Linked DNA regions of Lytechinus pictus. The protein of the gene in region 2 purifies or fractionates together with the protein of the main gene of each other region. This does not show direct contact. Links are inferred from orthologs where the notes say so. Each region holds a gene or a part of one and is shown on either strand. Other genes may lie near its edges.

What was found. Proteins that work in one complex are often made in the same cells at the same time.
Region 1: the proteins of serine/threonine-protein kinase Nek2-like (region 2) and anaphase-promoting complex subunit 1-like purify together in Homo sapiens (affinity purification with mass spectrometry; 3 studies listed by BioGRID and IntAct, with this or other methods). This does not show direct contact. The link is inferred for Lytechinus pictus from reciprocal best matches to the Homo sapiens genes NEK2 and ANAPC1.

The regions. Positions count from the first base shown.
Region 1 is NC_087251.1:44,500,719-44,508,827, forward strand, and holds the start of anaphase-promoting complex subunit 1-like, read right to left. Parts: upstream 3,104-8,109; 5' UTR 3,009-3,103; coding exon 2,922-3,008; intron 1-2,921. UniProt on the Homo sapiens protein: Component of the anaphase promoting complex/cyclosome (APC/C), a cell cycle-regulated E3 ubiquitin ligase that controls progression through mitosis and the G1 phase of the cell cycle.
Region 2 is NC_087251.1:48,003,918-48,011,273, forward strand, and holds the start of serine/threonine-protein kinase Nek2-like, read right to left. Parts: upstream 3,082-7,356; 5' UTR 2,881-3,081; coding exon 2,785-2,880; intron 1-2,784. UniProt on the Homo sapiens protein: Protein kinase which is involved in the control of centrosome separation and bipolar spindle formation in mitotic cells and chromatin condensation in meiotic cells.

The DNA of each region.
Region 1 (8,109 bases), about 3.5 Mb from region 2:
TTTCCTTCCATTTCCCTTTCTTTTTATTACCTTTGTTAAATGCTCCTTTTTCCTTTCCATTTTCTTCCTTTCCTTTCCTCTTCTATTCAGGGAATAATTTTTCAGTACACTACATTATTTGAATTTAGCATTTTGGGTCATAAGACTTTTTAAGAGAAAAGCTCTCAACTAAAGTAAAGTAGTCCTATGTAAAAATATGCAGTATGCTATACAAAAGATTTATATGCATAGCCTTGGCATAGCCAGGGCTCGACACTAGCGCCGGTCCGACGGTCCCAGACCGGTAAAAATCACTGTCGGGCCGGTAGATTTTCAGAAATAGCAAGATTTACTGGTCCGACAAGACCAGTAAGAAAATATCATTGTCGGGCCGGTAATTTTTCCAAAAATAGCAAGATTTATGGGTCCGACATAAACAGTAATAAAAACCATTGTTGGGCCAGTAACTTTTCCAGAAATGGTCAAATTCACTAGTCCAACATAAACATAAAAAATATTCCATGACTCAAATTGCAAACCATTTTCCTCCCGTTAAATTTGGTCATTCACACACAGAATGAATCGCATGCAATTTTTACTAGGGTAACATACAGTGTACATATGGCTAGCCAGCCACACAGCCCACATGGTGAATTTTCTACTGGCTGCACGAACGAAGCTTGGCAAACCTCTGGCAGAAATCTCTCACAGAACGGTCAAAATTCACATTTCACACTAATGAAAAGCTCTTATAATGTCCATATTTCCAAAAAATTGGGGTAACTGTCATTTGTAAGCAGTAAAAGGAGAAATTTTCACTTCTGTTTTAGTTCAAAGAGATCGGGTTTCGAGTGATATCGTCTGAATACATGATAGCCCCACATATGCATTTGTGTGTGTGTTGATACACTTGGTTTCTTTCGTAGCTATATCTTAATTGAGCCAAAAAGAAACTGATAATTTATTTATGATAGTTTTAGCTTTCTTCCTCTGTTTTCTTTCTATCTTTCTTTCCTTCTTTCTTTTCAATCTTTCTTTGTTTCTTCCCTCTCTTCTTTAATTTTTTTTGTTACTGTCTTTCTTTTTTAATTATTCTTTGTCTTTCGTTCTTTCATTCTTTCTGTCCTTTTAACATTTTTCTCTATTTCTTTTTCTCTTTCTTTTTTGATTTCTTTCTTTCTTTTATTCTTGAGTCCATCCATCCTATATTTATCTCTTCTTTCTTTCTTCCTTTCCTTCTTTTTACCCTTTCTTTCCTTCATTCTTTGTTTCTTTCTTCATTCCATCCATCCTTTCTTTACCATTTCTTGTTTTTTATTTCTTCCTTCTTTCAGCCCTTTCTCTCTTTCTTTCATTCATTCCTTCCTTTCTTTTTTCCCTTCATTCCATCTATCCTTTTACTTTTTTTTTTTTTTTTTTTACTGCTTGCTTCCTTTCCTTTCTTCTTTCGTTCTTTTTTTCCCTCATTCCTTCCTTTCTTTGTCTTTCGGTCTTTCTTTTTTTTCTTACTTTCATCTATTTTACATTTTCTTTCTTTTTTCTATTGCTTGCTTGCTTCCTTCCTTCTATCTATCATTTTACCTTTCTTTATTTCTTCCTTCTTTCAATACTTTCTTTCTTTTTTCCTTCTTTCCATCTCTCCTTTTACCCTTTCTTTCTTTTTTTATTGCTTCTTTCCTTCTTTTGTTCTTTCTTTCTATATTGCTTGCTTCATTTCTTTCCTTCTTTCTTTCTTTCCTTCATTCCTTTATTTCTTTTTTCTTTTGTTCTTTCTTTCTTATTTTTGTTCTTTCTTTCCTTCCTTCCTTTCCCTCTTCAGTTCTTTCTTTTTTTCCTTCCTTCACATTTATCCTTTATTTACCCTTTTTCTTCCTTTCTTTCTTTCTATCTTTTTTCCTTCTTTCCTTATACCCTTTCTTTCTTATTTTATTGCTTCTTTCCTTTTTTCATTACTTTCTGTCTTTTGTTTTTCCTTTTTTTCTTTTGTTCTTTCTTTTTTCCTTCCTTCACATCTATCCTTTCTTTACCTTTTATTTGTTCTTCCTTCCTTTCTTTTATTATTTCTTCCTTTGTTTCTTTCATTCCTTCATTTTTTTTGGGGGGGGGGGTAACAAGAAAGGACAGCAAAATAAACTCACGCCTTTTTTTAATGTTTTCTTTATTTTGGGGACCAGTAGATTTTAGGTTCGGACCAGTAAAAAATGGAAAAACTGGGTATCTACTGGTCCGACATGAATAGGTTGGACCAGTAGAAAAAAAGGGTTAGTGTGGAGCCCTGGCATAGCAGTCTTTCAAAAGTGTGGAGCAAATTGCGATCGATACCAGGAAAATTATTCCTTGCTATTCCTTTCCCTTTCATGTATTTTCTCTTCTTTCTCCTCTCCCCTCTTCACATCCCTCTTTTAAGTTTTAATTTTATTTCTTTCTTCTCTCCATGTCTTTAGTCTCCTTTCCTTTCATTATTCCACTTGTATTTTTGAATTTCCAGGTAAAAATCTTCCAGGAGCTGGGGTCAGACTGCCTCCCTCTGGCCTGTCTGTTATGCCATTATGTAATAAACACCCATTTTTATTCATTTTTGTTTTATTCAATGAAAAAAAATGGGTGTTGAAACTTGTCACTTGAATCAAATGGCAAATGTCACTAAAAAAGAACCACTTTAAAATATATCCTTAAATCAGAGAAGGTCATTGCAAACTTTAAAGTTACTGAAAATAAATTGTCAATAGAGTGTAATAAATTAGATATAATATTCTAACGTTAACTTGTCACAATGTTAAAATTCAGAATGAGCATCGAGCAAAACTTAAGGAAGTTAAGCCAAAGGGTGTGGGACTGAGCCTGAGGTGACGTGATGCAGGTCGATGATAATAATTTGAATTTCAATCTAACGTTAGTCTGGAAGTATTCCATAATCAATTCTTCAGAAAATCATACTGTACCTCGTCTTCCAGCTTTCCCTCTAATTCAATAGTCTCACATGAATCTGAAAAAGACAATTCAAGTATTTTCACGGGCGGAGTTGACATCAACTCAGGGCTCAATCAAGACAAATCTAATTTACCGCTTCGATATAATTGCACGTTTCGGATCGATCGTTCGGATTTGTGGAATGTCGCCATCTGCGTTCAGAATCTGGCATGTAAATTAGCGTTGATCGGAAAACGCGATCGCGAGCGGTACCCATAAATTTCCGGATAGTGGACGCTTTGGTATGTATTTTTCATTTGTTTTACCCCAAACCATTCATGTTTGAAATTGTGACGTGACTTGTAATAATAAACCCAATTGTTTATGATAATCTCAATTAAATAGATAGTCTTATATTGTCTGGATTGTGCATTTTGAGCCCCCTTGATGTTGCGTTTGATCCCTTCGACGTGTGTTGTTCCACATGTGTATTGTGTTAATAATGGGGAGGTCCCTTCCCTTGCGTTTACGGCCTAATCTCAGCGAGGCCGATTGTGTACCAGAGCTGAGAGTGAGCGTGCAGTATGTAATGTATGTTTGTGTGTGTATAGACTGTATTGTTGGCTTTAGTTTTTGTAGAATGTAACTTTTAATCCCTTTATTAGGCTTTATTGCACTTTATAATATTTTCCAGAGGCAGCCATATCCATTGAATCTTGGCAAACCATTCTTTGCCCAGATGAGAATGTTGGATGTGAGATGGAGGATGCAAACTGCAGATTTCATTTTCGCAAATTTTTGGTTGACATCAATCAGCGCTATCAATAATGGTAATATTGACAATATCAGTTGATCACATGATCTCCGGAGGGGTTCTCCCCCTTCTCCTCTCAAAGGTGAAGCTAACTAACGCGTAAACGCATTAGTTATCTTAATTCTTATCCATATGATTTAGATTCCTTGTGCACTTATACCTTTGAATAATGTGCGTTCAGGGGGCAGGGAATTGGCACTCAACCCCAAAAAAGTGGAGCATTTATAACTGCATAATGCTGGGAGCGAAATTAAAAATAGGCTCGATTGGAACAGGCTAATTCTGAAAAGGGCGGTCTATGGAACTACTGACAAACTGTTGATGAAGAAAAGCCTTCAAGGTAGGCCTAACTCCAGGTAGTTCACTTCAAGAAAAAACAAGAAGAAGAAGGCGATCTATAAACATTAGGGCTTGCCTCCACTGCACTCATGGAGTGGGAATCAGAATCATGACCTTTTCTTTGGAATTTCATTAATCATTTTGATATTTTTAGGGTCATTTCTGTAACATCAGTGGAAAAGAAAATATGCAAATAGAAGTTGCTTGAAGTGTTGAAATTGCATTTTTTTTTTGGTGCTGGACAAACTGTGATGGGACAGACCCATAAGTTTTGGTTTTTTTTAAACAAAAATTACAAGAGATAGACCTATCAATGTGAAAATCGTGCTCTGATGTGAAATTGGTAAAAGTGTTCAGATTTGAGTAAGAAAGTAATTAGTTAATTCTTTGTCATGTACATTTTTCTAATGGGGCTATGATCGGCTATCCAATTCTTAGGATGTCTTTGCATACAGCCTGCAGCTTTTTCCTCATATGCAAGTATGATCCAGCAGCCTAGTACTCTAAAGTAGTATAGTGAGTGATTGTATTACCAACCGGCCTTGTATTACCGAACGCACGCATCATACGCATCAGAAAATAAATTCATACGCTCAAAATTTTGCAACATCTTTCCAAAGAGAACTTGAATAGAAATTGATGATAAATGGTCAAAAACACATTTTCAAAGTCTTAATATTCTAACAATAATAAAATATGGTCAAAATAGCTCATAAGTGTTTTTGTTGTTTTCTCAACTTTTCCCATAGAAAAAACACGTTCGGTAATACGATACCTTTTTCAAGTGACCAAAATATTTCACGTGCAAAGAGGGGTCCGATTAGAAGCTAATATCGTAAAAAGGAAAAACAATTTCGGCAAAATTTTCACATATTTATATTTTGTAGGTAATTGTGTATTTATGTTAAAAGTTTGGTGAATTTTATGAGAATAATGTGTTTGATATGATTGAATTCATGAAAAGTGTTTGGTAATACAATCCACTGCCATACTCTAATCTGGCCAGTCTCCGAACCCATAATGCACCGAACCCATAATGCACCATTCTGAGTAGTGTTATGTCTACATGAATGATTTAAAAATTCACTATGCAGTACATTCATAGAGCATTAATTACCAAATAGAAAACAAGTGCATTTCCTCTTCTCAACAATTTAATTCTCTTTAAATGTAATTAATATAATGCTACTTTAATATTCTCTGTATTATTATCAGGTTATGTCAAAAGGTATATAATTTGAGACTAGTTTTTTTTTCTAACACACAGTTCATGAAGGAACATAATCATGTTGGTCAGTTTGCTCATAAAGCTTTGATTTCAAGTTAAAGTTGACAGAGAGACTCGCCCTTGTAACAATGACAAGTTTTGACCAGCAAAGATGAAATGCGACTGACTCGATGGAATGCCCCATCTATGTTTTGGAGTGGTGATTCTGGTTTTTTTCTTGAGAAGAGAAAACTGCTATGCATTGGAATGGAAATTTGAGTGGAAGTGTTGTCGTCTCATAACCAGTTGGTCTAATATCCATTTCATTTTCATTCATTTTGCACAATTTAACACTTAGTCCAATTAGACCAAATGGTATATGGACTAAATGGCTATTGGACCAACTGGTTATTAGACGGAATGGCATTAGACTAAATGAAAGTAGACCATGTGGTGAGTGGACGAACTAATGGTAGACCAAATGATAGTAGACGAGTTGGCAATTGGATGAATTGGCATTAGAAGAATTGGAAATAAATAATAAACCCTAAATGGGTACCCGGTAGGATGCGAAAGCCTATGTAGTAGGCCTAGCAATTGAGTCTTGGAACTGTTGTTGAAATGCTCCCCAGGGTATAGAGAAAGTGCATACATTGTGTGCGGGCATGTCGGAATCCTGTGATCGGGGACTCGGGGGGGGGGGGGAATATGAACATGTAAAGCGCTCAGAGACACAATGTTGGTTGTTTTTTTTGGGTTGGTTACTCATGTTTCTTGGACAGCAATATGACAAGATGTTAACTTGTCTAACCAGACAAGCTAATGATCTCTTTATTCCAAATTTGAAATGCACATTTTCACGAAACACTATTCAATATATATGTCGGACCCAAACTTTGGAATTCTTTATCAAATGAACTCAAACATTTCCCCACACTCCACACTCCTTCAAACATAGATATAAAATTTCCCTTCTTACTCCTTAAGGTAGTTTTATATTTGCCCCTCCCTCCCCTTCATTCGTCTTTTACTGTCTTTTACTTTATCTGGGGTTTTGAGGTCAAGTATCTCTTCTCATATGTAATTTATGTATTCCATTTTTAATCCATTTTTCTTTTCATTGGGGATTGACCTTGACAGATCAATATGGCCTTTGTCAATCCCCTTCACATTTTGATTTTCTACGTCTTTTTTTATGTACGCCATATTATAACTAGTTTGTATTGTAATTATCTAGGATGTATTTGATTGTAGGCCTACTGATATTGTATGTTTTTTACTCAATATGTGGAAAATGAATTGAATTGAGTTGAATGTGTTCTTAGGAAAGATGGAAAATTCTAAGGAAAGATGGAAACCTCATATGTTGTAAAATCAGAGAGCAATATTTATTTTTTGTGTAAGAGATGGGAAACATGGTTGCTTGCTTTCCATTTTGTCCAAGGGTGACATGGCCTTTAAGAGAGTATAGAAATGTTTCTCCTTCATCACAATTTTTATGAAAACCATACCAAAGAAACCATGTTTAATTTGCAACTTCATGGGGTTTTTTTCTCTCTAGTTGCACAGCACTTGGCAAGTTTACTGATATGGTTTGAGATCCTATGGAAATCAGGGAAACCAAAAACGGAAAAAAATGATTTTGTTTGATCATTTAGTTGTTTATTTCTTTTCCACCAACTTGTGGAATTGCCCAAATACTTCATTTTTGCCTCTCCTGCATAGTTGAAGTAGATAGAGGAGTTGCTTTTCCTCCAGCGGCAGCATTTTTAAAGTTATTAAAAGAATTGTAAGTTAGTGTTTAGAATGAATAGGAAGGTGCATGTATTTTTTAATAATTATAAATGTTCAAATTATGGCATGTTCAACCCTAAAATCTCCGATGTGAAATGTTTGCATGTTTCATTTCATGACTTTTTTCTTTCAAGTCTAAAGCAATTTTTTAGACCAAATTTGCGATGCCCTGGTTCATGGCCTTGGCATATTTGTTAATAATATTTGTGATTAAATTAAGACAATTCTTTATTTTCTTTTCTGGGACAAGCTGTATGAGGGTTTATTATGTGCAATGTATTATAATGTTTTGTTCATAAATGAAGGTAGTACTCCTATTTTATGCAGCAGACCAAAACCTTGCGTCTACGTGTAACTGTGTACCAGCCTAATATTTGTTTGGACATGGTACAGTATCATGTTAGCTTGAGGTTAGCTTGAGGTTTTGGAATAGCACCCTCTTTTGATAAGTTTTGTATCAATGTACATCTGGGCCCCATCTTGCAAAGAGCTGTGATTGATCCGATCAACCACAACTATGGAAAGCCAGCACTGCCAACATCTAAAAAGCATGTTTGTTCAGAATGTTGTCTATAGATATGATGTACATGTATAGGCCCTAATCATACATTCATCATTTCTTTGAGAATTCAGTGTGCTTCTCAGCCCCCCCCCCCACTTTTTTCCAAAACCGTGTACAAAAACGTAAAAATGGCTATATGATTGTGATTTTTTGCATGGTCAGCCCCCCCCCCACTTTGAAAACCGTTCCGCAGCCCCTGTCCTACATGTACATGTACACCTGTACATGTAGGGTAGCTCCATGTAGAGTAAAGTATGTGGTTGTGTTGAAATTAATTAATTTCTTACACTTTTCATTTCACTTCTCTTATAATGGATTTTAAGTTAGAAGAAAGAACCACATGGGTGTGATTTATTCTTTAAAAACAAAATGAAAAGATCTTTCATCCTGCATGCACAGAATATGTACATGGAGACAAATCAGCACAAAGTGATATTTGCACTTGGTAGGGATTATATAGAGTGTACTATACACATGTACTGTACATGTAACCAGACCTTCATT
Region 2 (7,356 bases):
AGTAAAAGATTTTGCTGTCCATCTGAATAATAAAGGCTTCTGAGCTCGACTTTTTGTTTAAATCTCAGCAAAACTTGTGTCACTCAGTGTGTCTTCATGGTCTTTGTCCGCGAAGATAGAACACACTACAGACAGTATACCCAGTTGTTGCGTGTCCGGACAGGTTGTGTGTCCGGACGATCAATTTTAGAAAGTCATTTGGAAGAATTTACAAGCGAAGTTTCGTAATTTTTTAGTACAAAATGTTAGGAAATATTATAAAGAACAAAATAGAAGATGATTACAAGTATTGAATTCATATTTTAGTGTAATACAAAGACAAAAAAGAAGGCTTCAAAAATATAAAGTGTCCGGACACCCGACCCCCCATCCTACTAACACTAACAGTTTTCCAAGACACTGCTCACTCGTTGATCGGTATAGAGTAAATAGAAGTTTGAAATCGCCCTGTCCCTGGCTCAATTTCTCAAGCAACAATCATGGCATGATATGACATGTCAATCAATTGCCAATTGCAATCACATTTTCATCAATAATCTTTCCGATCTTGCTCGTTGCTGGCAATTAATGCAATTTGCCAGTTATTCACTTGGTATGTACTAAAATGTGAATAATTTATCAGCCCTGATGAATATTTTTGTAACTGTCTTGATCAAAACTTAAAGACATAATAATAAGCCAGGGCCCAGGTTTTCGGGTCAGTGCAGAGTAGCCTGGAAGCTTCTGGAGAGTAAAAGTACTACTGTACGTAGACCAAAAGCTTCAGTCTCTGTATTTTGGTTGTTCCGCTGAACTACGTTGGCTCCACTCACCATACATAGACTGAAGGGGATGGGGCCCCGTACCTACAGCCAACGTATAGTGAACTAGCGTTTTATAGATCGCGATTTAAAACTGTTTTTTAAGCAAAATTGAAAGTTTCATGGTTTCCATTATCAGGGAAATATAAATAACTTAAGTAATTGCATACCTTGGGCCGGAGTTATTGAAAAAAATCCTCTGGATGATTGAGAAATCTGTCATCTAAGACATTTTCACCTGACCTGACGGTTTTTCTTGCAAGTTGCCATCTTGAATGACGTCATTATCGTATTAACTTAATGTCTCGAATCGATATATCGCGATTATAACTAGTACTAGTACTAGTATAACTAGTATCGTTTATCTTCGGTTTCGTTCGCATATGGAGCAGATCGTATAATATCGAAAGCAATATCGATATCACATTCGTGATTGTTGACGTTCGTTTGTAAATATTTTATAGTTTGGCTGCCATTTTGACCATTTTTATCGTGTTTGACCATTTTTATCGTGTTCAACCCAATTAAACATCGGTAAAGTATATTTTTCATGCCTTTTTCATCTATATCGTTTAAAGTATTTAAATGTTAGAATATCAAGGTCTAAAAGTTTGTTGTTTATACATCCTTAGATTGTAAATTCGATGTGTAAAATTACATCAAACTTTGGACTGTGAATTGACAAAAGGGAGGGAATGAGAACACATGCGAGCCCACACGTACACCCTACCGTAGGTAAATGGCACTCCTAGTACCAATGAGGTCCAACATTACATGTATGGACCTCATAGGCGACATCAGTAGTATTTTTGGTTAGAAATCTCTGAGAACAGGATATTTATATATTATATCACAAGTGCAAGCTATATTCCTTTCTCTTATTTAAATTATAATTTTAGAGTGTAAATGCATCGTTAGCAACAACAAAAAATGAAAGAAATGAAGGGGAACTTACATTTTCACGGCTTTTTCCTGATTTTCTGGGCAGCTGCTCTTCTCTTCTGACTCGCGATCGAAGCTGATATGAAGATCACGTGATTCGCGTTCTCGTCAGCTGATCGGTTGGTTATTCTTTTCGTCAGACGTTAATAATATATATTTTATAATGCTAGCATTCATCGCTAATTTAGGTGAAAGAGATTGAAGTTAAACAGCGCCAGGTCGGAATCATAATTATTTTGGAAGAGTGTATTTATACACTCGATCTCATACCTGACGTAGACGGCGCTATTCAACAAATGCACAATCTTCAATATAAAAAATAAAACAGAAAGAACGCCTTGAACACAGGCCAAAATGCCTAACGATTTCTCCGCGGCATTAACAACTATCGTAAAGGGCGCTCCATTTATCAATAAAGATGGATGCTAAGGCTGTCTATGGCGACAAAATTTGCCGCAAATATTTACGAAGAATTGTGAGAAATGGTCTGAAAATGCAACAAAAGAACCGGTGAGTACCGATTAAACATTATCAATTTATTTAATAGAACATACTTAATGACTACAATGTAACAATTTCTAGATAATATTGCTTAGTTCTAAGCTAGGGAGGCCCAAACGCGCGTGAGCGGAGTCCCACTTTATTAGCACGGGTAAGTATTGCGGTGTCGCCTAGAGTGGTAAATCATAAATGGGGATTACAGTAAAATGTCAGAAATTGTTGAATAAATCCCCAGAAACGACGGTTATTCCTGTCTATACTGTACGTAGGCTTACTCTCCATGAAGCCTGAGACGAGATGCCATAGGCCCACACATACCGAGTATTTTAGAGACAACAATGTTGTCTAGTCAGTGCAGCCAGAGCTAAGCGACCTTCGCCGCATCGCAGGCTCGCTCGCGATCGTCCCGCCGCAGGTAGCCTAGTACCATACCGGTATCCTCCCCACCACACACTATTTAAATGCCCGCCAAGCGCAAGGCGCAAGCAAGAACTTAGAAGCCGAGCCTCGGCTCGAGCCGAGAATAAAAAAGTTTACTTACCTTTCCGTCGCTTTTCCGACGTACTTTTCTGCATTTCCCGTAAGAGCCACTCCCGATCGTATAAAGAATATCATAATCGCTCAATTTTGAAGGCATCTTGGCGTTTGAATGCCACGATTGTAAAAAAATGTGTGGTCGATGGTCGTCCGTGGTTAAGGTTGTCGATCATGAAATATCATGCACGCACAATATTTTGAATTCACGCCAGCTGATTGACATTGTTTTTGATTGGGTAAGCTTGCGAAGTGAGCAGCCTATTATTGGTAGCAAATAATGCGTGGCCAATTTGATAAGTGGAGCACAATTTGGGAAGAGAACTTTGTACCAGAAAAAAATATATATTGGTGAAGGTTTGATGGAAATCCATAAAAAAATTAAGAAAGTCATAAGAATTTTAAGTTTTAGATTTTTACGTCATATACGAGCAGCTGCCCCGTATTTTTTTAATTTCAATCTTTTAATGGTTCATGATGATTAAACTTTTTTTTTTCTTTTAGGAGCGGCCTTGTGAAATAATTATTGTCTATATTGATATACTAAAGGTGACCAAAAAAAATGAAAGTGACAAGCCATTGTTTTTTTACAAAAAATATGGGGAAGCTTATGCATGTAAATAAAAGTTTGTTTGCTTGTTTGCTTGCATTTATTTCTGCGTTCAAAAACACAATACAAAAATATTTACAATTACAATATACAAAATAATTCACAATATAAACAATGTAGTCATATTACATGATAAATACAAATAAGAGTGTGAGTATAAATTAATCTTTTATAAATGTAAACATATATATATAATGTAATAAATGAACGCAGGAGACCACCATCGTGAGCGGTTAGGCTTGAATTGATGGCGGCCTCATAAAAAGATTCGTGACTTAGATTGATATTTACTGGTCAAGTGGGTGCATTGCAGGTGCAGGTGCTGTATAGCAGTTGAGTAAAATCAGAATGTTAAATAGCGAATGTGGATATTTGAGTGAATGTTTTAATTTGGAGCGAGGGGTTGATAAGATTGAATGATAGTTTTCTTTAGAGTGGCTTTTAATGAGTATATGGTAGAACAAGTTTTAATATTGTTTGGAAGATCATTCCAAATGTCTGGACCATGATGTCGAATTGATTTAGAGGCAATTAACAGTCTGGGGTTAGAGAGATGAAAGTTTCCGGATATGCGCGTTGGGTAAGTATGGACAGAACTATTAAATTTAAACATGTTATCAAAAGACGAAGGGAGCAGATTGTTAATATATTTAAACATAATTATAGCTATTTGAATAGTATATAAGTCGGCAATTTTTAATGTCTTTTGTTTAAAAAATAAAGGATCGGTGTGAGCCAAATAATGCGATCCTGTACAAATGCGAATTGCTCTTTTTTGTAATTTAGAAATAGAAGTAAGTTTTGTGGAACCACAATTAGCCCAAACAACGTTACAATATGTTATATACGGGAGTATTAACGAATTATACAATAGAAGTAAAGTTTTATGAGGTAAAATAAATTTCAACTTGGAAATTATTCCAATATTTCTCGAGATACATATAATGATATGGTGCAGATGTTCATTCCAAGACAAAGCTTGATCTATGATGACGCCTAAAAATCTAGAGTGAGTCTTCCGCTCTAATGGTGTACCGTCAATCTGTAAGTGAATTGGAGTATCGGTAATATGAGAATGTTTAAAATGGATGAAGTGGGTCTTTTTTTAGTTCAAGGATAGTTCGTTTGCTTTAAACCACTGTGAAACTTTAATCAATTCAAGATTTAATATGTTATTTAGGGAAGTTATATTTTTATGAGAAAAAAAGATATTTGTGTCGTCAGCAAATAATACAAATGATAAAATAGAAGATGTGTTGATAATATCATTGACATATAATAAAAATAAAAGCGGGCCTAGAATGGAGCCTTGAGGGACACCACATTGAACTGAAAGTGAACTAGAATCGTTGCCATTAAATGTGACATATTGTTTTCGATTTATTAAATAATCTTTAAACCAAAGGAGTGATTGACCTCGTATACCATAATAATTAAGTTTTGAAAGTAAAATATTATGATTAAGTGTATCGAACGCCTTACTGAGGTCACAAAATATACCAATGACATGCTCTTTGTTAGCTATGGCGTTTGTTATTTTATCGTAAATTTGAATTAAAGCCAAGTTTGTTGAATAATTTTTTCTGAAGCCATATTGATTAGAAATTAATAAATTGTGTTTGTTGATAAATTCATAAAGTCTATTATATACTATTTTCTCGAGGATTTTGGATATACTAGGGAGTAGAGATATAGGGCGATAATTGCTTATTTCATGAGGATTGTCTTTTTTAAAAATTGGATTGACTTTGGCGATTTTGAATAAGTCAGGAAATATACCTTGTGATAGAGATTTATTAAAAACATGACTAAGAGGGTTTGCAAGCGGGTGAATTATTTCTTTTAAAAGAGACATACTAATTTTATCATGCCCATGAGATTTTGAGCTATTAAGAGACCTTGTAATGTTGAGAATTTCTGTGGGGTTCGTAGGGTTCAAGAAAAATGAATGTGGATTAGGTTCGGGGAGATAATCCGTGAAATGCGCATTTTGGCTATTGATCTTGCTTGCAAGTTCGGGTCCGATATTTGTGAAAAATGAATTGAATGAGTTTGCGTGAAGGGAAGAGTCAACTTTGGTACCATTTAAAGTGATATTATCGGTAGGTGGGGGATCTGCATTTGTTCCCATTACTTCTTTGATGATTTTCCAGGTAGTATAAGTATTTGAACTGGCATCTTTTATTCTATTAGTATAATACATTTTACGTGATAAACGAATTAATTTTGTTAACTTGTTGCGATATACTTTGTATTTTTTTAAATTGGCTTCAGTAGGATTGCGTAAATGTGACTTGTAAAGGCAATTACGTGTCTGTATCGATTTTAATAAACCTTTTGTTATCCAGGGTTGTTTGGGTGTTTTTCGATTATTTTTTACCTTTCCTATGGGAATATTCTTTTCATAATAATGTTGTAATTTATTATTTAGGAGATTATACGATGTGTTTGCGTCAGTTTCATTATAGACATCCTCCCACCCCTCAAGTAATAAGTCTTGCTTCATTAATTCAATATTACGTTTAGATTCTTTTCGATATGAGCGTTGGTTAAATGATAAATAACTTGTAATCTTTGATGGATTTCCTAAAACCTTCAACAATTTTTTTAAATGCTATTTTTATAATAAATTTCCCCGAACTTCCCCTTTAAGTAGTGAATTAGTATACTACTATGCGAGTGTGATCTTTCAGAACATACATGAGCTAGATGATCAGTTCAATTTCAACGACGAGAGTGGGGGGGGGGGGGAGAAGCTCGAAGCGGAGTTGAAAAGTAAGTGGAAAATGGACCATCGTCATAACCATCTTATCGTCATCAGTCATTATCATCTTCATCTTTTTCATCATCGTCACCCGTCATGATATCACCATCTACATCATCATCATCATCGTCATCGTCACATCATCATCACCATCATGCCTCATCCCCCTCGTCATTAAAGTACAATTACTTTAAAGGTTAAGTCCACCTCAGAAAAATGTTGATTTGAATCAATAGAGAAAAATCAGACAAGCATGATGCTGAAATTTTCATCAAAATCAGATGTAAAATAAGAAAGTTATGACATTTTAAATTTTCGCTTATTTTCACAAAATAGTTACATGCACAGATTTAGTCATATGTAAATGAAAGACTCGACAATGTCCCTCACTCACTATTTCTTTTGTCTTTTATTGTTTGAATTGTACAATATTGCTAAATTTACAGATTTGAGTCATTTGACAATAAAGACCAACTTTACTGAACCATGAAATGTAAAAAAATGGCAATTCCACGTGTTCGATCAGGGCGAAAGAAAACTTTGTTTCACAGGACAATGAGGACAAAAAATAGATCTACAATGTTTCATATTTCATATAATAAAATACAAAAGAAAATGAGTGAGCGAGTGATGTCATCAGTTCCCTCATTTGCATACCAACCGGGATGTGCATATAAATATTTTGTGAAATTTATGGGCGAAACTTAAAAATGTCATAAGGCTTTTTTTATTTTACATCTGATTTTGATGTAATTTTCAGTGTTGTGCTTGTTGGATTTTTCTCTTTTTATTCAAATCCACATTTTGTTGTGGTGGACTTGTCCTTTAACGTTGAACTAAATATCAATAAAATTTAGTCACAGAGTGATACAACTTGCCCAGAGACAGTGTGCATGCACTGATATTCCTCTTTTAACTTTCAGTTTTACTTGCACCATCCCGGCCTCCTTCCCTCCTTCCTCTGCCTCCCTTTACCTCACTTTTATAATTTTATTATTTACTATTAAGTTTGAATATTATTTTCTCTTAATTTTGTAGTCGCGTATCGCTTATTTGCTAAGGGCTAATCCAGTATTTTCCAAGGGGAGGGGGCACATTTTTCAAAGGAATTAAAATTTGACAAGCAAAAAAAAAATAAAACAACAACAAAAAAAGGTTGTCACTAAAATTTGAAAGTCATTATTTCCTGCTTACACTTTGACAAG